3 linked regions of the Pelodiscus sinensis genome follow. The main gene of each other region encodes a partner of the protein of the gene in region 2 in a complex. Links are inferred from orthologs where the notes say so. Each region holds a gene or a part of one and is shown on either strand. Other genes may lie near its edges. The genes, in order: RBM15B, VIRMA and METTL14.

Region 1 (9,666 bases), on a different chromosome or scaffold from region 2:
TCAACAGCTTATCCCCTTGAGTATTCTCACAGGGTCACCTCTACATTGTCGGGACAGGGGTGTTGCTGGACAAGGGAAGTCGGATTATGCAGTTTCAAACTATAATAATCTATCACCATCTCTTTTGCAAAATAATCCTTAAGATTATAGTAGTAGAAGTGTAGAAGTGTGTAGAAACTGGGAAAGTCTCTTGCTTGGTTGTGTGTACAGTGTAGGCCTACACAGGAAAGATTTGAGGAGGGATGCAGTCCCTCCCCACCATACCAAAAAAAACCCAGTTTTCCGTTGGTTGACCTAATTTCTCCCTGTAACTGAAGGGCAGTGAGCTTTTTTTTATGAAATTTTAATTTTCTACAGCACCCCTTGAGCATTACGTGATGCATCTAGATTCTGTACAAACTATGTTTAAATATGTATGCTTATCAACCCTTGAACAGGGAAATGGGCAGAGGAAAGTGCTAATTGAAAGCAGTCCAGAATGGTTTCAAAATGGAATGTCCCAAGTAGAAAGGCCCACTGATCTCTGAAGAGAACTATCGCTGACTTTGTCAGGCATCCTTAGGGACATACTTAAGACAAGCTGTTCTTGAACTGAGAAAACTGCCTTCAGCTCAGTTCAGATGAAACATAACCGGGCAGGGGAGGGAGGAAATAGGACCACCATCCTCAACATAATGTGAAGTCCACTTTTCTCATAGTAGTACTGGGACTTGTGCAGAAATATTCTCTACCAACAAATGCTGCAACCTCATCTGTTCAAAATGTGCTTGAGAAAAGGCCAGATAAGCCATTTCTTCGCAGCGTGTTCTCTCTGCTCCTTATGGTGCTAAGGTGTTCCAGGCTGTAGAGTGAACATGGGGCTGCTATTCCTATTCCCTTCCCCCCCCCCCCCCTTCACTTAGCTCGCTCTAGAAATCCAAACCAAAGCAGCAGGGTTCAGAGTCTTTACCAGTAGTATTGTCTACTCCACTGGATAAGTGGCGAGGAGTCCTGTGGCACCTTATAGACAAACTGAAGTGTTGGAGCATAAGCTTTCATGGGTAAAGACCCACTTTGTCAGATGCATGTAGTGGAAATTTCCAGAGGCAGGTATAAATATGCAGGCCAGAATCAGGCTGGAGATGATACCTCCACTGGATAAAACACTCTCGGGTAGAAGCATGGCAAGACTGAGAGATTTGTAAAGCAGAAAACTCAGGGTGTTTGGGAGGGAGGGAGGAGGCAACCAAAAAAATCAGCTGAATCCTTCTGAAGCATCCTTTTCCCTCAGTATCACTAGACACCTCATTCTTTTCTTCCACTGTAGTGCTATTACCTTGGGGCCACCAGTGATGCAGCCACCAAAATGGTTAATGAGGTATCAAAACCTCTGAGTCACCACATCCCTGTGGAGAAGATCTGTGAGAAACTGAAGAAGAAAGACAGCCAGATCTGTGAGCTAAAATATGGTGAGTTTGGGCAGACATTAGCTAAGTGGTTAAATAGTTGGGCTTTTCTACAGTATGGTTCTTTGTTCTGATAAGTAACGAACTTGCACCCTGTCCCTTAATATTGCAGAGCTGAAGTGGAGGGGGGAAGGTGATGAGCAAGTAGCCAATAGTGATAGTTGACTACTTGCTTACATCCAACTCGGAGTTCTTCAACAGACATCGGTTTATCTAGGCTGCAACATTGTTTATGCCTGGGATTAGGTAAAATCCTAGACTCTCAGTGAGTCCCCTAGCTGCCTAGGTCCATCATGAAGGCACCACTGATGTTCACAAAACCACTGCTTGGCTGCTGCCTAAGTCCTAATACTGTCCCACAGCTAACAAGTTGCATGGAGCCCTGCCAGGATTTTCAAATAAGCTGGCTCCCACCTGTCTTGCCTAAAGAGCCCAATCCAGCAGGTGTGCTCAGAGCACATTTTTCATTTTGCTCTTGGCTGTCTTGGGCAGCTTCCTGGTTAGCTTGTTGGCTTCTAAGAGTCCCTTTCTTGTGTGTGTCTCTCCTCATACAATGTGTGGGGGCCATGAATGCCATTGAGCAGTGCAGCACTGCAGTAGTGAGCATAGCAAAGGCCTAAGTCCCCTTTGTGCCTTTAGCCCTTGGCCTCTAGTTGGGAGACTCTTATTTGGAGTGTAGAATAGTACATAGGAAAGATTTTTGTGGGGAACAACCCAGCCTCATTACAGATTAACTAGGCCTAAGGCTATTGGCTGCAGTTGTTAAATGCATTTATTCAGGTAACCGTGAAACCGCATACAGAGGCAGTGGGGCAGGTGGGACCATGTAACTGTGCACATTAACTGATGAGCCTCACTGGTTAACCCAGTACACATGTACATGTTCACCCTCCCTAGTGTTGACTACAAGCTTCTTGTTACCAAATCCTATCTAAAGATATTTACAAGAGACTAATTTTCATTTTTAATGGTCCCTCTTGATTCCCTAAAAGTCTGCCTTCCAGTTCTGCTCCAACAAAACTGCTCAAAATATTCTTTCCTCTTCTGCTGCTCTCACTAGGGATGTAAAATCCTGGTTAACCAGTTAAAGGTTAGGTCAACCTAACCTTTAACCGGTTTAACGACTAAACTGGAATCCGGGCTGGGGACTGCTTCAGTCCAGCTGGAGCAGCTCCTGGCCCCAGCCCCACACTGAGGCTGGGTCTGTCACCAGGTCCTAGCTTCCACCTTCTGCTAGAGCAGCCCCTTTCTGTGGGGCGCCTGGACTCCCCATAGACAGAGGGGCTACGTCTACACTGGCATAATTTTCTGGAAATGCTTTTAAGGGAAAAGTTTTCCGTTAAAAGCATTTTTGGAAAAGAGCATCCGGATTGGCAGGACGCTTTTCCGCAAAAGCACTTTTTGCGGAAAAGAGTCTGTGGCCAATCTAGATGCGCTTTTCTGCAAAAAAGCCCCGACATTTTTGCCATCGGGGCTTTTTTGTGGGAAAGAGATCTCTGCTGTCTACACTGGCCCTTTTGCGCAAAAGTCTTTTGGAAAAAGACTTTTGCCCGAATGGGAGCAGCATAGTATTTCCGCCAAAAGCACTGACAATCTTGCATGAGATCGTCAGTGCTTTTGCGGAAATTCAAGTGGCTAATGTAGACAGCTGGCAAGTTTTTCCCCAAAAGCAGATGATTTTGCAGAAAAACTTGTCAGTCTAGACACAGCCAGGCTGTTCCAGATGAGAACAGTCCCTGCCCACAGCAGGCCCCTTGTGGAACTGAGGCAGGGTCCTGCCTGCAGCAGGTGGGGCGCTGTTCCAGCACCCACCAATTCCCTGGAACTGATAAGCAACAACCCTACCTAGCTCTGACTAAAGCAGTATAACGTGCCAGCCTCTTCACTGATTCCATATGTCCTAATGTGTAAAATTGTCTTCAGTTTCGTGTCATCTTGTTGGCCTGCCTCATTGCAAAATAACACCCCTGGTATGTTTGTTTAAATCTTATTTCCCTTTTCCTCTCCCCTTCCTTTCTGTTTTTATATTCCATTCATTGTAATGTAGATTGTATCAGTGAGGCAGTGCCTTGTTTTTAATGTCCTCAAGAATAGGCCTTCTCCACTGAAGGGGACAAAACTCAAACACACTTTACTGTCCTGTCCACTTCATTAATATGTTATCTAGTTAATCTTGACCGCCTGTAATAGGCTTGTTTTTACTCATTTTGAATAACCAATGTTCCCCCCTCACTCTTCAGACAAGCAGATTGACCTGAGCACTGTGGACCTGAAGAAACTGAGAGTGAAGGAGCTGAAGAAGATCCTGGATGACTGGGGGGAAACGTGCAAGGGCTGTGCAGAGAAGTCAGACTATATTCGCAAAATCAATGAACTGATGCCTAAGTACGCTCCGAAGGCCGCCAGCTCCCGGACGGATCTCTGACCCCCCCCCCCCCCGCCCCCATTGCGCTGTTCTCGGTGGGGTCCCTCTTGCCCCTTTTTGTAAGTTATTGCAGCGGGCGGCCAGGCCGGGCGGGGTGACCGGCTCGTCTCCCCCCCCCCCCCCTTTGTATTGCGGGGCCGCCTGCGGGTGGTGCCGCCGCGGAGACTTTTGTATTAAAGTGTGAAAGGAAGCGGGTCTCTCTCTGCGCCGCGGGGGGGGGGGAGCGGCACAGGCCGCCTGGGCGCGCGCTGAGGCGGGCGGGGCGGGGCGGGGTCCGGCGTGGGAGGGGCTGGATACACGAGGCCGGTTCCACAGGGTTCGCCCCGCCCTGGGTGGGGGGCGAGGAGCGCTATGGCCGCTGCCTGGATGCGTAAGGCCCGGCCGGCCACCGCCCTTAGTTCCCCTGCGGCTCCCTCTCAGTTGGTCCCGTCCGAAGGCGAGGACGTAATGATCGCTTTCTCCATTGGTCCTTGTCTATCACGTGACTCCTCCCCCCCGCGGACGACGGAAGGGCTTCCCTTGTCACGTGATGAAGGCGCCGCGGCCCCAACTCGCCATCGCTCCTGACGCCGCCATGCAGCGGGGCGCGGGGAGATGACGTGTGGCCCGCGCGGCGCGGCGGCCGGACTCCGGAGCCGCCTTCCTTCCCTTTTGTCCAAGATGGCGGCGGCCGCCGGAGGCGCCTGCTGAGCCGCGGGCCCCGGAGCCATGAAGCGGGGCAGCGAGCGGGACCCCAGCCCGGGCGGCGCGGGGGGGGGCCGGGCCGCCGCCAAGCGGCCCCGCGAGCGCGAGCGGGAGAGCAGCAGCCGGCGCGGCCCGCACCGCAGCTCGGGCGCCTCCCGCAGCAGCCGCGACAAGCTCCCGCCCGGCGGCGCCTCCAGCTCCCGCAGCCACCGCGGGGACGAGCGGGCCGGGGGCGGCGACTCCAACCACCGCGCGGCGGGCGGCGCCTCGGCCTCCAGCGCCCGCAGCAGCCAGGCCGCGCCCCCGGCCGCCGCCTCGTCGTCGTCGCGGGCGCTGGGGGCCGCCAAGGCCAAGGCCCTGCCGGGGGCCGTGGTGGCGCCGTCGCTGCTGCTCGCCGGGCCGCCCCCGGGGGCGGCGCCCTCCTTGCTGCTGGCCCCGCTGGGGGGCTCGCCGGGGCTGGTGGTGGAGCCGCCCGGCTCCTGCGAGTACAAGACGCTGCTGGTGAGCGGCCTGAGCACCGCGCTGCCCGACCAGCTGCTGGAGGACGGGCTCTTCCGCCAGTTCCAGCGCTTCGCGAGCGGGGGCGCCGGCGACATCAGCGTCAAGCTCTCCCACACGCCCGAGCTGGGCCGCGTCGCGTACGTCAACTTCCGGCACCCGGGGGACGCCCGTGATGCCCGCAGGCACGCCCGGGCCCGGCAGCTGCTTCTCTACGACCGTCCCCTCAAAGTGGAGCCTGTGTACTTGCGTGGGGGTCGCAGGAGCCGCACACCCCCGCCTGTGCCCTCCCCAGAGCCTCTGGGCTACCTGCCACCCATCCACAGCACCTACCAGTATAAACAGAGGTCACTGTCGCCTGTTGCCAGCCCATTGCTGAGGGAGCCACGGCCCCGGCATGCTCATGCGGCCGCTGCAGCCTTCGCCTTGGAGGCTGCTGCCCTTGGGCTCTCCCGGGAGCGGGAGAGGGCACTGGATTATTACGGGTTGTATGATGAGCGTGGCCGACCCTATGGCTACCCCATAGTGGCTGAGGAAGATCTGATGCCAGAGGATGACCAGAGAGCCACTCGAAATCTGTTCATTGGGAATTTGGATCATAATGTCTCAGAGGTGGAGCTCAGACGTGCTTTTGAGAAGTACGGCATCATTGAGGAGGTGGTGATCAAGCGCCCTGCTCGAGGCCAAGGTGGGGCCTATGCATTTCTCAAGTTCCAGAACTTGGATATGGCCCACCGGGCCAAGGTCGCCATGTCTGGCCGGGTTGTTGGCAGGAACCCCATCAAAATTGGCTATGGAAAAGCCAATCCTACTACACGACTCTGGGTGGGTGGCCTTGGACCAAGCACATCCTTGGCTGCCCTTGCTAGAGAGTTTGATCGCTTTGGTAGCATCAGGACTATTGATTATGTGAAGGGGGATAGCTTTGCCTATATTCAGTACGAGAGCCTGGATGCTGCCCAGGCTGCTTGTGCGCAGATGAGGGGCTTCCCCTTGGGTGGACCGGATAGGAGACTTAGAGTGGATTTTGCCAAAGCTGAAGAGACAAGATACCCCCAGCAGTACCAGCCTGCACCACTCCCAGTGCACTACGAGCTGTTACCTGATGGATATAGCAGGCACAGAAGCCTAGAGCAAGACTTAAGGGTGAGAGATAGGACTCCTCCACATCTCCTGTACTCAGATAGAGACAGGAGCTTTGCAGAGGCAGATTGGGCTAGTCCTGCCAAAAATGCTGAGCGAAGAAATAACTTGGAGAGCTACGGCCGATCTGTGCGTAGCCGAAGCGGAGAACGTTGGGGTAGTGACAGTGACCGCAGTGTGCCCAAGCCTTGGGAAGAAAGGCGGAAACGCCGGAGTCTTTCCAGTGACCGTGGCAGGATTACTCATTCGCCTTATGAGGACAGAGGCAGGACAAAGGCCAGTGGGCCAGCTTTAGATCGCAGCCCAGACAGGGTTCGCAAAGAGAACAACACTACAGAGTCTGGAACAGAGAGGGATCAGAGTAACTCCCTTCAGAACAACCGGCACGTATCTGAGGAGAAACCACATCGTGAAACTTCTGATCTTCCTCAACCTAAAAAAAGGGACAGCGAACGCAATCATCGGACTGGTGAATCGGAATCAAAAACTCACGAGGAGCCAAAATCTGAGACCAAAAAAGTAAAGAACTTGTCAGAATATGCTCAGACACTGCAACTTGCTTGGAATGGGCTTCTTGTGCTAAAAAATAGCTGCTTCCCCACGTCTATGCACATCCTGGAGGGAGACCTAGGTGTAATCAGTGGGCTCTTAAAAGACCATTCATCTGGTGGGAAGTTAACACAGCTCAAGATTGCTCAAAGACTTCGGCTTGACCAGCCCAAGCTGGATGAAGTAACTCGCCGTATTAAACAAGGCAGTCCTAATGGTTATGCTGTGCTACTGGCTACCCAAGCCACCCAAGGAGGGGTAGGGGCTGAAGGGACCTTTCCTGTTGAGCCTGGCTTGCAGCGAAGGCTTCTCAGGAATCTGGTCTCTTACTTGAAACAGAAGCAGGCTGCTGGGGTGATCAGCCTGCCTGTGGGAGGGGCAAAGAGCAGAGACAGCACAGGCATGCTTTATGCTTTCCCTCCCTGTGAATTCTCTCAGCAGTACCTTCAGTCAGCACTAAGGACATTGGGAAAGTTAGAAGAGGAACATATGGTGATAGTTATAGTCAAAGACACTGCCTAGCCCCCACTGTCCCTTCAGATTCCATGTTTTCTTTGTGTGTGTCACAGCCCCATTGTTTTTAAGACCAATCATTTTTGCAAAGGCCCAGTAAACCTTAAACAAAATTGTGAGATTTTTAGTTTCTAATTAATTTTAATACCATTTGAATAGATCTCATTTTATTTGTTTTTAATATGTGACACTGTCCACTGTGTTCTGTATTTTTATTTTTTAACTGTATGGAAAGTTGTCAGTAAAGCCTTGTTCACTGATGGATTTTTAATCTTGTGCAGTGTCTTGGTTTTTATGGCTCAGTGAGGGGCTGGTTCCCTCACCCAAGAGGTAAAAGATGATTACTCCCTCCTTTTCGCGTGTCTAAGAGCTGTACATCCCCGTCCTCTCTCCAGGTGCTCTGGAAGGTAGGGGGAAGGCTTCTTAATGATGTATGAGAGAAATGTAAATGTCAATATTCTTGATCTGTTTGCTTTGTATATTTTAATTTGAATTTTGACTTTTCTGCTAAATCTCCAGTATATGATAGATGTTTCCCGGGTAGATATTTCCAAAGAAGTGAACCCTGATGAAACATAGAAATTAACTTTTATTAACAGCCATTTAACACTTGAGACAGAAGCTGCTAGAAAACATTCATTTTCTTACCCATTCAGTCACAGAGACTCAGAGCACCAAGAAGCAACAAAATATGGAAAGGCAAGGCTTGACATTCCTGATAATTTGAAAGGGGGGGGGGGAAATGAGGCAGGACTAACCCTCCACACCTTTCCTTGCTGGAGACAGAACCCCTGGGGTCTCTCTCATAAACAAAGGGTGCAAGCTTAATTTCTTTGCATAGGGCAGAGCTTGACTCATTGCACTCCTTTATTAAAAATTAACTGCCAAAGTTAAATTGTTTGCAGGAGTCTAAAGGAGGAAAATACCTTTGATGGTTTAAAAACAATTATGTACTGTTAGAATTAATTTTCCTAAGATCCTGAGAAGTCTTATCATGGTAAGAGCATAAACAAAGAATGGAATCTGTGAGGTGGTTGTCAGATTAAGAAGCTAGGACGTTTGCCTCTGATGTCAGTATCTTAAGGCTGGGGGTTAGCCATTCCAAGAGTGCAAGTCTGATAGTCTTTAACCACAGTCTAGAGACAAGTTTCTAGGATTTACAAAAATTTAGCAGTTTGCCTTTGAGTTTCCAGACTTTTTTTCTATTGTAAATCACTGTGAGAGGCCCCAGAATCTTGCACAGCCAGACATGCAAAGTTGCCAAAGGTCCGTCTAAATCTGTGCTGTCAGATAATAATACTGGTATGACTGGTAACGGAAGCTATGTAATTGGAAAGGTTCGTTCACTCTAATAAAGCCCATGTAGCCTGCAGAGATTCAGACCAGGGACAGCACTGGTGGTGCATGTTTGGTTGCTTGATTCCGAAGGATAAACAATTTGTTGCTTTTATTTATTACTGTACGTAAATTAAAAGTTGCTCTATTGGATGAGTTTATTAATGAGGCTTCCAGCTAGACTCACTTTTGTTACAGGTCAGCCAGATTGAAAGCCCTAATCAACCGCGTTGTGGCCAAGTCCCTAAGTGCTCTGGTCGTGTTTTGATGATCCCTTATGTAACCTTTCAGCACGTTGAAGCCTTTTGTTTTCTGAAACTAACGATGCTAGTCTACAGGGTGAGCATTCGAGTGCACACATTCGTGACTGAGGGAAGACAGTGCAGTTATGTCCCGCCTGTTATTGCCGCGCCCTAATGCACTGTGTGTCTTCTAGTGCCTAGCCTGGTTGGGTGGAGTGGCAGCGGCGGCTTGTTTGTTAGATGACCTCAGCTGTCAGAAGGCAAGCTGCAGAGGAGACGCTTCCCTGAGGCCAAAGCCAGAAAACTGTTACGTGAGCTCTATAAGGCCACGGCCCCCGTCAATCATCGATAGACCCTCAGGTCACGAGCCCTTGTGCTTTGGCCAGTGAGTGCGCTGCCTGATTTGCTGTTCAGTGGGGCTGTATGTTTATGAATGGAGACCATCATTTCCTAGATGTAGCGCTGCCCCTGATGTCATGGGTGTTCAGGCAGCTACCAAAACTAGACAATTCAGTGACTAGGAGTTTGTGTCTGGCATAAAACGTGTGGCCCAGATGGCACAGGGCAAGCGCTGGTCCTGGGGTGTGATGCTCAGCTCTAGAACTGTCCCACCCCCATACGCATAACGCTTCCTTCAAGGCAGGGCCTCAGTGATGATGCAACAGGAGCCTGGGAGGCATGATGGGCAGTAATGTCATGTCCCCCATCATGTTATTCATATCTACACTGGACCATAGAAATGTAGTTCTTAAAGGTGACTCCTGGCTGACCATTCTGAATGGATGAGATTTGGGGGGCAGGTCTGAGTGATAATGGAGTCCAGACTAGTCTC
Region 2 (9,666 bases):
AGAAATGTATCTAGAACTGATACCTGCAGGACACCACTCATTATGCCCTTCCAGCATGACTGTAAACTACTGAGAATTACACCCTGGGCACAATTTCCCAACCAGTTTTGCACCCATCTTATTGTAAAGCTTTGCTAAAGCTAAGATACACCATGTCACCCACTCCCCTCCCCCATCCACAAGGCTTGTTACCTTGTCAAAGCTATCAGGTTATTGCTTATTTATTTGCTCTATGATCTTTCCAGGTACACAGATGAATGTCCTTATTTCCCTTATTATAGTTTGGCATGCAGTTGCCCCTTTCCAGTCTTCTGGAACCTCTGTCATCTTCCATGACTTTTCAAAACTCCTAGCTAATGGCTCAGAAACCTCCTTGGTTATTTCACTTCACTTCACTTCACTTGCATTACAGACCATGGGGCAGGGGAGACTGCAACGGCCAGAGGCGGGGAACCTTTTTTGGGATGGGGGCTGCTGACCCACAGAAAAATCAGTCGGGGGCCACACACAAATGAGGAAAAAAAGAAAACAAAAAAAATTCCTCATTGATGTGGCCCCTGACTGAGGAGACTACACACCCCAAATTCCCCTGGCACACCAGAGCCTAGGGAGGGCAGGCTAGTATATTTCCTATGATCCAGCCCTGTGGTAGAGTGTTAGTGGGCTGAAGTGCCAGCAAGGGCTCCCCAATGCTGGGGGGGAGCCCTGAGCCTTGGGGGTCAGATCCAGGAAAGCTGGGGGCCCCAGGCGGCCCCTAGGCCTGAGGTTTCCCACCCCTAGCTAAGGGCTTCCCCCCATGTCCAGATTAACTCTTCTGGGGCCCAGGGTTGCTAGTAGATTTTGTGGTACCATAGGCTCTGAGGTGTGGTCAAAAATAAGGGGTTCAGTGTGCTGTAGGTGGCTGCTGGGGTGTGGGGTTGAGGCAGTATGTTAGGGTGCTGGAGCGGGCTTGTGGTGGTACAGATTCAGAGTCTGGGAGTGTGTGGGTCTATGGGGTCTGGGCAGATGGGACAGGGGGCTGATTACCTGGGGCATCTCCTGGAGGTGTGCAAATGGCTATATATTAGGGATGTAAAAAAACGGCTAAAATGTAAGCATGTAATTGTTAAAAATGCTACTGATTATAGCTTTATGCTGCAGAGTCCGCAGTGTGTCCAGCTACCTGGGGATAGGGTCGGGGGCTGCAAGCCAGTGCACACCAACTCCTAGCTATTGGCCCTGCTCTTGATGCTGGATGTGCAGTAGGCTCTGCAGTATAAGCTTTACACTACAGATCTCATAGCACAGGGTGACAGCCATCTTCCCAGAAGCAGGGCTGGCAGCCAGGAAAAAACATGTAACTGTAATGGAAGCCAATAAGCTGATGTTTATTAGTTAACAGTTGAAACATCCCTATTCTACATGGCTCTAACAAAAAACAGGACTATGTAGCACTTTAAAGACTAACAAAATGGTTTATTAGGTGATGAGCTTTCGTGGCCCAGACCCACTTCCTCGGTGGGTCTGGCCCACGAAAGCTCATCACCTAATAAACCATATTGTTAGTCTTTAAAGTGCTACATAGTCCTGTTTTTTGTTTCAGCTACACCAGATTTTGTTTCAGCTACACCAGACTAACACGGCTACATTTCTATCACTACATGGCTCTGCATTTGTAGGCAACCACTCCCACTAGCTGCGAGTACTTGCCAGTGGGAGCAACTGGGGTGTAGCCTGTGAGCAGGTTCTCCTTTTCTGCCGTAGAGGGACCTCATAATACAATTAGTCAGCTTCAGTATTTTGGATACCAATAGAGGACTTTTTCCTAGAATTGGCCTGATAATCTCTCTGGGCTCGTCTACACTGGCCCCTTTTCCGGAAGGGGCATGTAAATTTCAGCAGTCGTCGTAGGGAAATCCGCGGGGGATTTAAATATCCCCCGCGGCATTTAAATAAAAATGTCCGCCGCTTTTTTCCGGCTTTTAAAAAAGCCGGAAAAGAGCGTCTAGACTGGCCCCGATCCTCCGGAAAAAGTGCCCTTTTCCGGAGGCTCTTATTCTTACTTCAAAGTAAGAATAAGACCCTCCGGAAAAGGGCACTTTTTCCGGAGGATCGGGGCCAGTCTAGACGCTCTTTTCCGGCTTTTTTAAAAGCCGGAAAAAAGCGGCGGACATTTTTATTTAAATGCCGCGGGGGATATTTAAATCCCCCGCGGATTTCCCTACGACGACTGCTGAAATTTACATGCCCCTTCCGGAAAAGGGGCCAGTGTAGACGTAGCCTCTGTGTGTGTGTGTGTGTGTGTGTGTGGGGGGGGGGGGGGGTGGGGATTATTAGCATCTGGAGCAGGGATTTCCCATCAGGCAGTGCTTCCCTGCTTTCTGTGTCCCAGAGTTCAGTGCAGTTCTTGTTGGACTTTCTGTTCTCCATTCTGTACCAAGGGTCAGCAACCTTTCCGAAGAAGTGTGCCAAGATTTAACCTTCCTGCCTTGGCCTGTGCAGCTCTCTCAGGAGGGGCTCTCTCCGCCATGTGCCCCACTTGATCTCCTGCCCTGGGCTCTGCTCCAGCTTTTCCTGTGGGAAGGGGAGGAACAGCATGCACACACTTCCCTGGAAGCCAGATGGGTGCGATGCCTCGGGGCTTCCCCCACCCTTGCAGGAAGCCGGTGCTGGCTCCAATCTTATGTGAGGTGTGATGCTGGATCACCAACATGGGCTGCCTCGCCCATTTCCCTGAACCCCTCCCCCCAGGCCACCCCGGGGGGAGGGGTTCAGGGAAATGGGTGAGGCAGGGCAGGGTGGTTACCCCAGGGTTTCCAGCCCTGCTGGGGGTGGGGTCCCATGGGGGTCCCAGTTCATGACACCCTTGCTTTCCTTCTAGGGACTCAGGATCCCAGGGGCCAACACGGCTTTGGGGTAGGGGCACCCCCCCACGCGTTTTCCTCTCCCCTCAGCCACCACCACCCAGCCCTGGAGCTGCAGCCCGGGCAGCATTCCCCCGCTAGTGCAGTGGTTCTCAAACTTTTTGGTCTGGACCACCTTGCTCAATGCAAACCTTTCAGTGAACCACCGTTAATTACATAATTATGCATAAGCCATTTTGCTAGTGCTGCAGCTAGGGAGAATGGTTTAATTTAAATTATTAAACAGAATAAGCGTTTTAACTTTCTCATGTTAGTTTATCAAACTTCATTTTAAATTAAAGTAAAATATTAATTTATGTCCAACACAAGATTTCAATGTTTTCTTTGTCAGGGGTGAGGAACTATCAGTTGGGGACCACACAAGTGAGAAGCAAAAAACTACTCCAAAACCCCCCAACCCTCTGAGCCTGACTCCATCACACCCCAGTCTCCAATTTGCCCATTATCTCCTCATCCCTGTCCCTGGCCTCCATGGGTGGGGAAGGCAGGTCTTGGCTCTGTTTGGGGTCCCTATGCTGCCCAATGCAAGTGGGCAGGGAGCCAGGGTAGCTCTCAGGGGTACCTGGGGGTACTGAGGAGCAGGTTCCCCCACCCCATTGCTTCCCCTTCCCCCAGCTTCTCTGCATGCCGGTGAGACTGGGGCAGGCGGAACAGCAGCAACTTGCATGCAGGGATGGGGCCTCAATCCCACGAGTGCGTGTGTGTGTTCCAGCTCCGTGTAGGGTCTCTGATGTAGGGTCTCTGATGTCTGCTGGAGGCAGGTGGGGAGCTGGGGTGCCTCTCAGAGATACAAGGGGTGGACGCAAGTCAGGGCTTTCTTCACCTCCCCCCCTCCCATGCACCTGGAAGCCAGAGCTGGTGCTCCAAGACTCACAACTGCGTGGACTCCAATGAGAGAGGGTTGCGCTCCTGCTGTGGTCTCCACATACCGCTAAAAATGAGCTCGCATGCCACTTACAGCACACATTCTGTAGGTTGCAGATCCCTGCTGTATACTAATGGGCTATGTCTAGACTGGCATGATTTTCCGCAAATGCTTTTAACGGAAACGTTTTCAGTTAAAAGCATTTGCGGAAAAGAGCGTCTAGATTGGCACGGACGCTTTTCCACAAAAGCACTTTTTGCGATAAAGCGTCCGTGGCCAATCTAGATGTGCTTTTGAGCAAAAAAGCCCTGATTACCATTTTCGCGATCAGGGCTTTTTTGCGCAAAACAAATCTCAGCTGTGTACACTGGCCCTTTTGCGCTAAACTTTTGTGCAAAAGGGACTTTTGCCCGAACGGGAGCAGCATAGTATTTCTGCAAAAAGCACTGATTTCTTACAGTAGGAAGTCAGTGCTTTTGCGGAAATTCAAGCGGCCAGTGTAGACAGCTGGCAAGTTTTTCCGGAAAAGCTGCTGATTTTCCGGAAAAACTGGCCAGTCTAGACACAGCCATGGAGTGGTGTGAATGAGCCTAGGGGAGCTTTCAGAGGAGTTAGGTGTGTCTCCCCCCTCCCCTGTCTTCTGATTGACTTTGGTTCAAGCAGAGACTTGGGGGGGGGGGGGGGAGGTCTTTCATTAGTCTGAATGACTCATTCATCAAGAACCTAGTTCAATAATAAAAATGAAAGGTAGCAAGTGCTATAAGAATCACAAAGAATTGCTAAAAGCAGTAACTACTGTTTACTTAAATATACTACTTGAACATTAGCTATTAAAATAAAAACAAATAGTACAGTGATGGGCATTGCACAGGGTAATAAGTAATAGAAATAATATTTGGAAAGGAGCAAAACTATAATTCAAGGGGTCTGGTAGCACTTTATAAACTAACAAAATATGTTGATGGTATCATGAGCTTTTGTGGGCATAGCCCACTACGTGTTTTGTTAGTCTATAAAGTGCTACCAGGCCATTTTTTTCCTGTAACAGACTAACTCAGCAACCCCCTGAAGCTCTATAATTCAAGTGGGTTACAAGGATGGGAGTACAAGTTCAGTGAACCCTGACAGCAGATCAGACAAATCTGTGAAATGGTATGAAACTTCATGTCCTCTCTTTAGCCCCCTCTAAAATGTAGTCAGCAGAAACTTCTACATCGTGTGGGCAGGGGAAGGGCAGTGGCTTCCGCAGAGCTATTGAGCATGCTCCGTAACTCTCACTTTCTGGCTCAGTAGCTCTTCTGAGGGGGAACCACCGGCCCTACCCCCGCGCTGTGCCCGCACAGGTGCAGAAACGAGCTGTGCGGCGATCCTGCAGCAGCCCGCCCTTTACAGGGCGCCACTGGCCCCGGCTCGGGACTGCGCTTCCCGGCTGACACTTTTCCGGGGCTCCGGCCCGCACCAGCCTTGGCCCCCCCTGCTCGTGTGAGACACTGCACCGAGCGCCCCCAGGGTCAGCCGCGGCTCCAGCGCCAGCGTTCCTTCCGCTCCTCCGCCCAGCAGTCGTGTGCGCATGCGCTCGCGCCCCGCCGCTGAGCCTGGGGAGAGAGAGTGGAGGGCGCAGGCGCCGCGAATGACCCTGGAAGCGCTTGCGCTCACCCGGAAATGCTTCCGCAGCTGCGGAGCAGAGATGGCGGCGGACACGGCAACGGAGCTGTTGTTTTTAGACACTTTCAAGCACCAGAGCGCGGAGGTACCGGTGGGGCCCGCCGAGCCACCCCTGTCCCCAGAGAACGAGAGCGGGAGGCGGAGAGTCTTGCCCCTGGGCTGGCCCGCTGCGGGACCGCGAGCGCGGGGAGCCAGGCTGGGGTGGAGCGGGCTGGGCTCTGGCAGCGGCGGGGGGAGCAGACGGGGGCGAGCCTGGGCGGGGGCTGTGGAGGTGCAAGGACAGGCAGGTTGATGCTGCCTGCTCCAGAGCCGGCAAAGGGCCAGGACGTGGAGAGTCCGTAGGAGGAAGCGCGGTGACACGGGGAGAGCGACGACAGCGCGTGAGGGGGCGAGCGGACCCTGTCTCAGGATTGGACCACCATGACATCAGCATGCAAGGGAGACTCCCCCGTATCGCGCTGGGAAGCCCTGGCGTGGCCAGACGCTTGACGAACGCTTCTATGGCTTCTTGTGCATGGGATGATGGCAACGTAGAAATGCGGCGATTAACAGGCGGGTGTTAATGAGGAGCCCGCAGAGTAAGAGAATAGGAATTGCGGCGAGGAGTCCTGTGGCACCTTGTAGACTAACTGAAGTGTAGGAGCATAAGCTTTCGTGGGCAAAGACCCACTTCGTCAGATGCATGACGAATAGGAATTGATACGGAAGAAAGTTGGCAGGTCAAGTGTAGGAGAAGGGGGAAAATGGGAGCGGAATTAAAAACGAGATTTTTAAGGTTGTTTGAGGAAAGATGAGAGGACAAGTCAGGAACAAGAGTGCTTTTCTGGAGCCTGTGGTGCATCTCTGCCTTGCAGCAGTTAATGGGGAGATCGGGAATATTCACTTTAGCTCCTATGTCCTGTGTGTTCCATTGCACAGTAGGTGTAAGGTTCATTGTACTAAGTTCCCAGTCTCAGAGGGTGACCTTACAGAGAGATTCTCCATGTTGTTACCATAGAAGCCCAGTGTTGAAAGAATACTTGTATTGCAGCAGAGAATTTTGTCAGTGATTGTCACCTCACATGGTGGTACTGTGTGGGAGAAAGATGTATCTTAAGTGATCATGATGTCAAGAGTGAAATTGTCAAAAATGGATTTGCAGGAAGTCATTGAGAATTTAACTATCTTCAAAGAAACTAGACATTTATATTGCTGTCTCCTTGGAGTTAAAATGAAAGTGCCTAGTCTTTTTGCAGGGGAAAGAGGTAAATAGCAGCATTTTCCAAGGATCATTCTGCATTGGGACCAGTGCTGTTCAATGTATTTGTAAATGATCTGGAAAAAGGAGTAAACAGTGATGTGGTGCATTTTGCAGACAATACAAAATTATTCAGGATGGATGATTCCAAAGCAGCTAGTGAAGAGTTACAAATGAATCTTACAAAACTGTGTGACAAAGGGCAGGACAGGTTCCTGAGATGCTGTTTGCAAGAAGTTGAGAATGGGTGACACTTGATGATTTACCTATTAATACCTTCTGAACCACCTGGCATTGGCCATTGCTGAAGGACAGGATACTAGGCTTGATGGACCTTTGATCTGATCCACTGTGTCCAGTCTTATGTTCTAGAATCATAGTGTACAGTTCTCTGAAAACATTTGCTCAACTAGGGATGTAAGCAACTAGTCGACTACCCGATAAGCAAATGCTTAGTGGGTAGTTGAGTAGGAACTCAACTAGTTGTTCCCTCTTCCCCCACTGCCTCTGTCAGAAATCAGGTGGTAGATCACTGTTCCCGCTAATATTTTTTCATGCATAAGTGGAATACATTTTGTTATGCACAGAGGCATGTATGGATGTGCACCACCAATAGAAACACAACTTGCTGATTGTGAGTGCTCTACCAATCCGCTTGGGGGGATGGCAAATCTCTCCTGAGTAGCCCTCCTGAGGGCACATTTTACAAGGAATGCCGGTATAGATTACCCCACATCTACCTGCAGCAGGTTCTTACATTTTCCTCTAAACATCTCAGACTGGCCACTGTTGAAATACTGAACTAGGTGGAGATCAGGTCTGATCCAGTGCAGCAATTCCTATGCATACAACCTCCTGCCATTTGTACATACAGCCAAATAGTCAAATTTGGGGCACACAAATGATCTGTCTCTGGTGCACATGCTTTTGATAATGTGTGCTTAGTTCATAGTTGTTGTTTATCATTACTGTTAGCATTATGGCAAGTGCCTAGCGGCAGTGAACATGAGGGCTAGGGATGTAAAATCCTGTTTTATTAGTTAACTGGTTAAACATAATATTTAATCAGTTAACCCATTACAGGGGGATGGGGTGCCCAGAAACAGCACTGTAGAAACACACAACAAAAACTCTTGTTCTTGTTCCTTAGCTTCTAAACATTTTAGAACATGGAAACACACATTTTTTAGAACACTGAATACATTTGTGGCATATGTAAATGGTGATTATAACATAGCAAAATCCTTAATCTTCACCAGGGGAGACTTTAATGTCAGACTTTAGAACTAATCCCAAAGAGGTAGTCTTCCTTAGGAACACAAGAATGGTCATACTGGGTTACGCTAGAGGTCCATCTAGCTTAGTATTGTCTTCCAGCAATGGCCAGTGCCAGTGCTTAAGAGGGAATGAACAGAACAGATAATCTTCAAGTGATCCAGTTCCTATCTTTCATTCACAGCTTCTGGCAGACAGAAGTTTGGGACACCATCCCTGCCCGCCCTGTCTAATAGGCATTGGTGAACTTTTCCTCCATAAATTTATCTAGTTCTTTTTTGAATCCTGTTAACAGTTTTGGACTTCACAACATCCTCTGGTAAAGAGTTCCACAGATCCTTCTTCCTATACGAGTCAGGACAATAGAGTTGCTCTGCATATGGGAGTTTTTCTCTTGCATGTTCACCTATTGAGTGCCATATATTGAATTACAGCTGGAGCACTTGTGGTGATTATATTTAAGATTGGGAGGCAGCAGTGCGGAAGGGAGCGCAGGAGGAGGGAGGGAGGGCAGGCGGCCTGTGGGAGCTGGCATGCACCAGGAGTCATCTTAAAAGCCAGCTCCCCACACATATGGTTCCTGCCTCCTCCCTACCTTTCCCTGCTGCTGCTATAGATACAGAAGGGTGGGGTTGTATGCATGTAAATGAGAAGGTTAACTGTGTACTCAGGCACATGTTAACTTCCCTATTAAATACTGTTTTTGCATAGATCTTGAAAAATTCTGTCTGGAGTCTTTCATATCTCCAACAGAGTCAGCTGACCTTAAACAACCCTCTGGTATTTAAAATTAAACTAGTTTTATTTTTCTATAATTATAAGCTTGACAGTGTTTCAAGTGGCATGCCCACTTGAATTTTGAAAGTAATTTCAGTTCCTCTGCCAATTCTTGTCTTTACAGTCATTTTCAAAATGTTTCTCCCTCAGTTGCTGTTTGAAAGATCAGATAAAAAAGGGAAATAATTCTTATTATAAAGTAAAAACAATATAGTATTTTTCAAGCTTTGCAACTTTTGTTTGCTCTTTGTTTTTAGCAGAGTACCAATATAGATGTAGTTCGTTTTCCATGTGTGGTTTACATAAATGAAGTACGTGTCATTCCTCCAGGAGTAAAAGCTCACACAAGTTTGCCTGACAATAGAGCTTATGGGTAAGTCCAAAAATGTTCAGATGCATTTCCTTTTATATTGTTTGGGACTTGTGAATCACAGGAAAAACTGCAATATATGCATCCACTGAATATGCTATATATATATAAATAATGTGTTCCTTTAGGTTTTAAACAATAATATTAGGGATTTCAGGTTTTGGTTAAGCATTGCCTGACATAATTAATTTTTACTTTTGCTCCATCAACAGAGAGACATCCCCACATACATTTCAGTTGGACCTGTTTTTCAACAATGTCAGCAAGCCAAGTGCCCCTGTTTTTGACAGACTAGGAAGGTAAGAATTTGGGAATGCGTGTACTTTATACATTCATGAGTATTTGCATAGCACTGACTGAACGTTTTTCTGTACAGGTTGTAACTCCCTGATCCGGCAACCTCAGGACTGGTTCCGTCTCTCCCAGTGTTCCCCCTTCTGGCAAGAGCCCCAGCCATTACCCCCAGCACAATTGATGGGATCTGCTGCCCCTGATGGGGTTCGTCCCACTCTGGCCAGCAGGGCTTCCTGCCCCTGGCCAGACTCCTCTCTGGACAGCCGTCCAGCTCTGACTG
Region 3 (9,666 bases), on a different chromosome or scaffold from region 2:
GAAGGGGGGGTGCTTTTAGGGTGCTTGGGCCTAGAGTGGGGCGCTTCATCAATTCTTTTGATCTTCCACTCCTCCGAGTTACCTAGGATCATGCCCAGTGACCCCAACACATGTAAAAAGATTATTGAAAATTAGGCAGCATTAAAACTTTGAAACCAGGGAAAAGTTTACAGTCACACAGTGGGACTTTCTGAATATGGGACTTTTACCAGGATCAGGTAACACACCTGCATCTGTCATACCTCAAGACAACTGACCATGTATTTAACCGTTGTGATCCAGCTAGGGATCCACTCTCAAGCTTCCAACTCCAATTGCTGTCTCCTGTCTAAGGGCAAAGAAAGACATGTGTGGCTCTCCCTTCTGACAGGGTATTTCCAGACTGCACAGTTCCCATTACATTGTGAATCCTCCAGCTATGCAGATTGCTTCAGCTGGCCTGCTTTGTCTTCTCAATATAAATAAACAATATAATTGCCACAGTTAAGTTACCACATAGCTCTTTGGAAGCAAGCATTTTTATTCTTAAGATAAGAGCATTATATAAAATATTAAAAAGCAATGAAAGAATCTATATTCGTATTAATAAGCTTCTTAGCAATAACCCACTCACTCCAACAAGGACTCTGGCTGCTGAATATTAAAATCCACCAATGGGTTTTCCTGTAATCTCAAATTCATAACAGATGTTAGCTCAAAATGAACACACCCATTAATCTGAGAGTAGAACCAAGCAAATCTGAGGATATCCGCTTTATATATGTGGGCATCTGTGGATGTGAATATCCGTGGCTCATTTTTTTCAGAAATGTTGTATCTTCTCCCTCCAAATTTGCAGATATACATTTTATATCCGTGGGTATCTGCATCTGTGGATGTCATTGCGGGTATCTGCGACTCATTTTTGCAGATAGAGATGCAGATGCAATCCAAGCCAGTCTCTATCTATGAATTGCTTTTTTATCTATTCTGGGACTCTGGTCTGGCCCTAAAGAAACAGATGATCAGTAGACAATGAGTTTCTCCTCAGGCTGCAGCATCAAAAGGATGGGTCTGGAAATGAGAAGTGGCTTTCTCTTTCTTCCAAGTGTTTCCTGGAAATCTCACTTAATTTTATTTATTTAGCTAGCACATAATTTCAAAGACTCCTTTGAAACTCCGGAAACTTCCCAAGTTTTACTTTAATCATGGTCATGGCCCATACAGGAGTTACATACAGTCCACAATAATATTTGCATTTTAATACAATGAACTTCTGAAATACTTAATCTTAATTCAATAAGGTTTGTCCAGGATGTTGCAGGAAATTGCCATATCTGTCACAGCATCCTATTGAAGAAAAGCAACGACAGACCTGCAGTAATATGTGTAAATACTTGATGATACGATGATGCTTACTTTTATTATTCAGAATTTTCCCATTGTTTTATTGGCAATTTTGTCTGAATATTATGTCTTTCCTCAAAAATACTGGAAATTGCATTTTTTACATGGGAAAAGGGCTCCTCACATGCACACACACATACATGTACATCATTCACAGTTCCAAAGTAATCAAATCCTCATTAAATATCATTCTAATTCTTGCTATCTAGGCATTTCTGCAAAACTGATGGTTATCCCTTATACAAAACCCTTCAAATAAATGACACAGTTGAAAGGTCAGTACTGGAAGCAGCTGTGAATGGGAGATTACAACCAAATGTTTTTAAAAGGATTTTAATCTTTCTTTCTCTCTCTTTTAAATTGAAACACAGAAATGAACCCAACAAAAAAGCCATATGTATACATATTCCAGGGACACACAGCAAAAGATGATGGATAAGTGGCTTTTTCCTTCATGAAGATTTACATGGTTGTCTTGCAGAGTATTCATTTTATGGCATTAATTCTATCAAAGAATGATAGACTTGAAAGTCATTAAGCAGTTTCAGCCAGTCAAATGTCTGGTAACTAGGATCTAGTTCATATGCTAGTTTCCTATTTTTTCTCCTTTGTCTAACTGCAAGACAGTCTAGCCCCATGGTGCAACCAGTCCAATCAGTTCTGAAGCAGTAGTCACTATATAGTGGCCACTATAGTGAACTAGCCATACTCAACCAGCCAAATAGCCACATTGTTCAAGATACATGTGGTTAGTGACTATTGGATTCCACAGATCTAGTCAATAATCAGGTAAGTGTCTTTTACCAGGTATGATTTGCTATCCAACAAATAGTATCTAATGGTATCTAACAATGTCAAAATACTGGTATGATTCACTATTCAATCAATGCTGCTCAGTTACTACAGAGCCACTTGAAGTCTATAGTCATAGGCACGATGTAAAAACGTAGAACTGTAGGCATAAAAAAAATTAAAAACTCAGCTATTAGATGTGATAAGATGGGAAGCCAGAAGTTAGCAACAGTTGGGACTGAACTCTAGAGGGAGAGAATGGATGTGGTATCTCTGGATTGAGGAAGAGAGCAGGAAAAACAGGATTCTCACCAAGACAGTATATGAGAAAACAGTGTAACTGATAGCGGGGAGAGCAGGGAGCAGGCCGATTGAAGGTAGAACTGTGCTACATTTAAAATGATGAAAGCCATATGGAGTAGTCATATTATGCATCCATAAATCTATTTTTTATACTTTTATACAGATCCACACCTATGTGGCATATCATTAAAATTCGTGCACAATTAAACTCTGGTTCATGCTTTTTGTTGCTAAAAGCAGAACATAACCGTCCATTCACTTTCAAGTAATTTTGGCAATAGGATGTTGCATTTTTAATGTGGCTGTTGTATTGCAATATGTGAATGCTGTGTTGTGAAGTGAGGGAGTTGTGACGTGACATTGGGGCAATATCATTTTGTGACATTTTTGTGTTGTTGCATTCTGGGATTCATGCTGACTTGCAGAACTGTACAAAGTATTATGACAGCTGGTCCCGCAGGTACAGGACCCAGCTGAGAGCCAAGGAAATGCAAGAATCCAGGGTGAAAGTCAAGGGGCAGCGCTGACTTGCATAAAGTGCACTAGCCCCTGTGGCAGGCACACAGCAATGGAGTTGGTACAGTCAGACACAGGCACCCCAGCTGGCTGTTACTGGAGTACAGCCCAGGTAGGGGCGGAGAGGAGGAGGCAAAGGGAGACTGTGGTACTGACTGCTATGAGCATGAGGTGCCTGGACAGTCAGGCCCAGCCGCACATGCGCAGAGCAAACAGCCAAGCATCTCCCCCCCTCCCCCCAGAAACTGCCGCCCAGCTGCGGCAAAAAGCGACTGGCTGCGTCACGTGACTCGCGCGCTCGGGCCTCCCCGTGCCGTCGAAGTCTCCGGAGAAGTTAGGGCAGGAAGCGGAAGTGACGTTTTAAGGAAGCGCCAGCGGCGTGCCCGCCTCGGTTGCATGGCGATGAACAGCCGGTTGCAGGAGATCAGGGAGCGACAGAAACTCCGCCGGCAGCTCTTAGCGCAGCAGGTAGCGGTGGGCGGGTTAGGCAAGAGGGCGTGTGGGGGAAGGGCCGTAGCGCTCCCGGCGCGCAGCTACCTTGGGCGTACGGGGGTGGGTCTCATCCTTTGACCCCGCCCCCACAGCTGTGGCAGGCGCGAGCCGGGGGGAGGGCAGGAGGAGGCTGTGAGTGTTGCGCGCGCGCGCGGCCCCCTGTGGCAGGTGCGGGTTTGCCCAGTGCCCTCTTCTGGTGACGTCATCGCCGCATGGCCCCTCTGCCAGCTGGTGATTAGGCCCCGGGGGGGGGGGGGCGGCGCTCCGGGGAAGCGCGAAAGCGGTTAAACGGTAACCGTGTACCCGCTGGAAATATCGGTGGGTGCACGTGCTGTGGGTTTGGCGGTGCAAAGCTTAAACTTTCTACTGCCCAGCCCCCGCCCTGAGAGTGGCCTGGCTGCCGGCTCTGCTCCTAGGGAGGCGGCTGCAGAGCTTGGCTGATGGGTTATTTGGTTAGACTCCTACTGAGCACTAAGTGGCGGGGGCAGATTTGTGCCTAGGGCGTGTGAGGCGCCACCCGCCATGTCCATGTGTGCTCCCGAGGTCCCTCCTGTGCTCTGGTCTCCAGACCTGTGCATGTGGAATGTCACTGTGGGATCCGGGGTGTCTAACTTTCATCACAAGGGGTCAGTTGGGTTTGAGGGTTTGACCCATTTTTTTTAATTGCCTGCATGCTTTGCCTGAAACAAACAAACAAAAAAGTGGTGTGTTGCCCTTATTTCAGTTGGGAGCTGAGAGTGCAGATAGTATTGGTGCCGTATTGAACAGCAAAGATGATCAGAGGGAGATCGCTGAAACAAGAGAAACTTGCAGGTTGGTATTGATGTAGTTCTCTGTTAGAAATCTTGCACGGTGTGAGACTATGGTTTTTGAAAGAGGGGAAGAAGCAAATAGGATTGGTTTCTTAAGACAAGCATTTTTTCATCCATGTTAACGAAAGTAAAGAAACATTAGTTCACACCAGAAAAGAAGAATTAAAAAAATATTTCACAGTCACAAGAAGGGATGTTAAGGACTAGTCAACTAACCGATGAGCAAATGCTGATGTTAAGGATAGTCCTCTAGTCACTCCTCCCTCTTCCCTCCGCTGCCTCTATCAGAAAGAGGCAAAAAGGGGGGAGAAGAGGAGGTACTTCAACACGGCAGCGTTGTGTGGAGCCTGGGGCCAGACTCTGGGCTCCATGCAGCACTGCCACTTTGAAATGCCACGTAGAGTCCTAAATGGGTAATGCTCACCAGTTCTTGTTAACTGGTAAACAGTGGGGGCTGGAGCAGATCACCCTTTGCCACAGTCAGGGGCCTCCTCCAGCCCTGTAGGAAACCCACCGTGGGTTGCTCTCATCCAGAGCTGCTTCTGTCCATGGCGGGAGCCTAGGCACTCTGCAGGCTGGGGCTTCTCCAATTTCCAGATCAGCTTCTGTCTGCGGTGGGCCTGGGTGCCCCGCTAGCAGTGGCTGCTTGGCCGGAGGTGGGACCTGGCAATGGAGCCGGCAGCCAGCTCCAGCATAGGGCTGGGGGCTGCTCCAGTGCTGTTGAAGTGGTCCTCAGAACCCCCTTGAAGTAATTGTTTAAGGCAAGTAGAATTTAGACCCCATCTTCAAATTCATCCTTGGAGACAGACACTATTTTCAGTTACTGTAAGGGCAACAAAAATTATTGGGTTTTGGAACAGGTCCCATATGAAGAGAGATTAAAAAGACTTGGACTTTTCAGCTTAGGAAAGAGGAGACTAGGGGGGGCTATGGTAGAGGTCTATAAAATCATGACTGGCATGGAAAAAGTGAAAAAGGAAAAGTTATTTACTTATTCCCACAATATAAGAACTAGGAGTCACCAAATGAAATTAATAGGTGGCAGGTTTAAAACAAACACAAGGAAGTTTTTCTTCACACAGCACACAGTCAACCTGTGGAACTTCTAGCCTTCACCGCATCCTCTGGTAAGAACTTTAACAGAGTTCAAAAAGGAGCTAGCTAGATTCATGGAGGTTAGGTTCATAGAATACTAGGACTGGAAGGGACCTCGAGACGTCATTGAGTCCAGTCCCCTGCCCTCATGGCAGGACCCAGTACTGTCTAGACCATCCCTGATAGACATTTATCTAACCTACTCTTAAATATCTCCAGAGTTGGAGATTCCACAACCTCCTTAGGTAATTTATTCCAGTATTTAACCACCCTGACAGGAACTTTTTCCTAATGTCCAGCCTAAACCTCCCTTGCTGCAGTTTAAGCTCATTGCTTCTTGGTCTATCCTCAGAGGCCAGGAAGAACAAGTTTTCTCCCTCCTCCTTGTGACACCATTTTAGATACCTGAAGACCGCTATCATGTCCCCTCTCAATCTTCTCTTTTCCAAACTAAACAAGCCCAATTCTTTCAGTCTTCCTTCATAGGTTATGTTCTCTAGATCTTTAATCATTCTTGTTGCTCTTCTCTGGACCATCTCCAATTTCTCCACATCTTTCTTGAAATGTGGTGCCCGGAACTGGACACAGTACTCCAACTGATGCCTAATCAGCGCAGAGTTGATGGCTATTAGCCAGGATGGGTAGGCATGGTGCCCCTAGCCTCTGTTTCTCTGGAAGTGAGAGACGGGAGGGATCAAGTGAAGATTACCTGTTGTGATCCATCCCTCTGGGACATCTGTCCGCAGACAGGATACTGGGCTAGATGGACCTTTGGTCTGATCCAGCATGGCCGTTGTTACTGTACATTTACACTAATGAAATTATAACGTCAGTAGGAATGACTACTGGATTTTCACTGCTTCAGCTGTCCTTATAATATGACTGTTTTGGGTCTGGTTAGTATAAAACACTGCAAAGTAAAGGTGTTATTTTAAGGTTATAACAATGTGAACATTTGAGAAAATGAGAGACTACTCCTTAGAAGAGTTCGTTTGTCAGAAAGCTATAGCATTAGCAGAGAGGTTGTCCCAAGCAATTTTAGGCTTTATAGAGTACAACCAGACCCTTAAATTAGAATCAGAAACCAATATGCATTCATTGTAGATAATCATAGGTTATAATATATGTTCTAATGTAGTGAAGCAAGAGAAATTGCATTATATCTATTTTTTTATATGTTTTTTAGGGCTTCTTATGATACTTCAGCATCAAATGCAAAACGCAAATATCCAGATGAGGGAGAAGCTGATGAAGAAGAAATTGAAGAATATAAGGTAAAAAGATAAATAACAGTCCAAAGAAAATATTTTTTTAACATGGTAAAAAAGCATTGTTACAGTGAGGAGGGATGGCTAGTGATGGAAGAGACCAGACTGAATACATGTGAAAAGGCAGAATTACAGAGGGCCATGACAGCACTGATGAGTATAGTGGTGAAGGTTGAACACGTGGGCAGATTCAAGGAAAGGTGTGATATGGTCAGAGGAAATGGCCAGGAATACGTAACTAGTAATTTTATATGAAATGAAATGGTGTGATGTATTGCTGAGAGGCCAAAGAGGTTTCATTTTGATTTCCTGTCCAAGAACTTGCAGTACAAGCAAAATAGATTGGATTTTTAAAGTGGTAGGAGTTGGCTTTAGATGAGGTCAGGGAGTTGAAGATTCCCATGAAGTATGGGCAAAGTGACAAAGAGGATGAATGTTTGTGTGCTCAGTAAAGGCAAAAGAAAGAGTTTGTTGGAAGGAGAGATCAGGAGGTTGGTTTGTGTCCATGTTTTGTTTAAGATAAGACATCAGAAGATATTTTTTACAAAGGAAATGTTGGTTAAAAGTCAGTCTTCCTTGCTTCCTCATATTCCTGAGACACCTATCCCAGACATATGTGACAGCCTATTTCCTTTATCTCATTTAAGTACTTCCTAAAAATTCATTTTTGACTCTTCGGATAAATGATTGGTGGAGAAGGTTGAACCAAATAGTGACTCTCAAGGCATGTGTATCTTACTGATTAGCTGTGATCTTGTTAATTGTTACCATTGTCTTTCTCCCTTTTCCTTATTTTTCGATGACACTCACTATTGACTTATATCAAATCAATGAGATGTTGCTTATAGTACTTCTGGGTGCACAAAAATAGTATAATCACTGGAATTGGGAGGATCATTGAAACAGTCTGTTTCATACCCACTTCCATATGTACAATAAGTTAGCTATAGGGGTATCATGAGAAAAATACATTCACTGAGCTGAGTAAAGAAAGCAAACATAAAATAAGGTGAGCCTTTGATATATTGAAAGTATCATTGGAATAGAATACAGAAACAAGTATTTATAGGCCTTATCAATTATTTTTGTGTTCTGGTAAATTGAATTAATTTGTTTCTAAAATACTTAAGTGACCAAAACACATACAATTAATACACAAAGATTATCAGCAGGGCTCGACAAATAATGTAATCTACTTGCCCATGGCGTAGATTACAACCCGGAAGAGCTGGTGCAGAGCGATCTGCACATGCACAGAGTGCAGAACCGCGTGGCTGGCGAGCAGGGCTCGCCGCCGCTTGGCGAGCCCTGATTATCAGTACCGTATGAAAAGTAAATAACCTATTCTTAATTAGCCTGTTGCTACTTAGGGCTTGTCTGGATTGACAGGCAGTGATCAATACAGCAGGAGTTGATTTATCACGTTTAGTATAGATTAGGGATATTAAATAGCTGTTAATTGAGTAGTCGAGTAACCTAATGAATTCTTATCAGTTACTTGACTATTCTGTAGTCCCTGGGGGTGGGATAGGCAACCTGTGTGCGCCAGCCCTATTCTAAGGAATCCCCTGCCACTCCGCACTGCTGCCTCTGTAGTATGGGGTGTCAGGCAGGAGCTGGTCTGCCAGGGGAACCTGTTTAAAAACTAGCTGTCCTCGCAGATTGGCTGCCTGTCTCACCATGTTGCTCCCTCTAATACAGAGGCAGCAGCATAGGGTGGCAGTAGCCCTTGTCCAGTGGGGGTCTGAGCTCCCGGATCCGGTGCAAGCCAGAACTGAGCTGGGCTACCTGGCTCCTAATACACTTTAAATGGAGAGCCATAGCAGGGGCCGATCCCGTCGCAAGCTAGACTATTGGCCAGCCTGCTAAAAAATTTACTGGTGGGGATGGGGGGAAATGCATGTTGTCTATATCGTTAACCTATAAGCTTTTGCTAATTGGCTAATCGACTACACTATTACATCCCTAGTATAGACAAATCGACTTGTCAACTCTAGTGCTCTCTTAAAAAGAGAAGAGTAAGCAGAGTTTATGGGAGAATGTCAGCTGTCAACTTTACAGTGGTGAAGATACTGTATTGAGATAAGCAGATCTCTGAATGTCGACTTCCTCTATGTTTTCATGTAGCTGAAGTTGAGGTAGACAGCTTGCGGTAGTGTACACAAGGCTTTAGGTGGGTGACCAATCTGTAGCGATATTACTGAATTTAAAAAATAAGTACACGAATAAAGCCTCAGACTTGAGACCTGTATATTATTTAATTACTCGCATGAAAATCTAAAATTACCAATAGACTGACTAAAATACAGCAAAGAACTATCTTGTATAGACTGCAGTTTTTCTAATGGTCGGGGGGGAGGTTTATTTAATAAAATTTTGGCCTTTGAATTTGCTTAATATTTTTTCATTGTTAGCTTAAGCATGTTAAATTTAATAATTTAGTAATACAAACTCATGAGTGGTCTAAGTCTGAATCCCTACTAAGTGTAAAAGTTAAAGTACTCCTTTGTAAAACGTGTGTGTACCTTAGACTAAATATTCCTTCCAGGGATAACATTAATAAGCAGTTATAGATTGATTTGTCAAGTTTATGAAAATAAGAGACAGATCGTATTGATTTAAGTTTTCCTGCTTCTCTCTCTCTCTCTGCAGTATTAACCTGCAATAGTCTTTGTAGTTTTCTGATCCAAGAGCCACAGTCAGCACAGGTAGCCCTTAAAGCCTAATTATGTTGTAGTTTGGTTATGCAGACCAAAATTTGCCAAAGATATAATGAAGACTGGAAAACTCATAGTATTATCTAAAGCAAGGTTGAGCTCAGGTTTGCAGAAATCAGTAGTGCAATTATGCATAGCCCAATCCAGACACTCAGGAATTTCTGATACTCAAATCATGTTGCTTAATATAGTCCTAACTAATAATGTACATTATTCCTAAGTGTCTATTTGCCATGTTAACATTGCTGAATGAAAATTAAATAAAGAGGAATTTGTACTTTTTTG

Evidence for each region.
Region 1: VIRMA (region 2) and RBM15B share a complex: the UniProt entries of both Homo sapiens proteins name them as parts of the WMM complex. The link is inferred for Pelodiscus sinensis from reciprocal best matches to the Homo sapiens genes VIRMA and RBM15B.
Region 3: VIRMA (region 2) and METTL14 share a complex: the UniProt entries of both Homo sapiens proteins name them as parts of the WMM complex. The link is inferred for Pelodiscus sinensis from reciprocal best matches to the Homo sapiens genes VIRMA and METTL14.

Annotation. Positions count from the first base shown.
Region 1 is NC_134721.1:43,355,810-43,365,475, forward strand, and holds RBM15B (putative RNA-binding protein 15B), read left to right. Parts: upstream 1-4,181; 5' UTR 4,182-4,578; coding exon 4,579-7,266; 3' UTR 7,267-7,528; downstream 7,529-9,666. Other genes in the region: MANF (mesencephalic astrocyte-derived neurotrophic factor), read left to right, coding at 1,307-1,448, 3,686-3,870. UniProt on the Homo sapiens protein: RNA-binding protein that acts as a key regulator of N6-methyladenosine (m6A) methylation of RNAs, thereby regulating different processes, such as alternative splicing of mRNAs and X chromosome inactivation mediated by Xist RNA.
Region 2 is NC_134712.1:40,434,630-40,444,295, forward strand, and holds the start of VIRMA (protein virilizer homolog), read left to right. Parts: upstream 1-5,163; 5' UTR 5,164-5,338; coding exon 5,339-5,518; intron 5,519-8,979; coding exon 8,980-9,095; intron 9,096-9,304; coding exon 9,305-9,391; intron 9,392-9,666. UniProt on the Homo sapiens protein: Associated component of the WMM complex, a complex that mediates N6-methyladenosine (m6A) methylation of RNAs, a modification that plays a role in the efficiency of mRNA splicing and RNA processing.
Region 3 is NC_134715.1:35,214,017-35,223,682, forward strand, and holds the start of METTL14 (N(6)-adenosine-methyltransferase non-catalytic subunit METTL14), read left to right. Parts: upstream 1-3,324; 5' UTR 3,325-3,393; coding exon 3,394-3,465; intron 3,466-4,213; coding exon 4,214-4,302; intron 4,303-6,582; coding exon 6,583-6,670; intron 6,671-9,666. UniProt on the Homo sapiens protein: The METTL3-METTL14 heterodimer forms a N6-methyltransferase complex that methylates adenosine residues at the N(6) position of some mRNAs and regulates the circadian clock, differentiation of embryonic stem cells and cortical neurogenesis.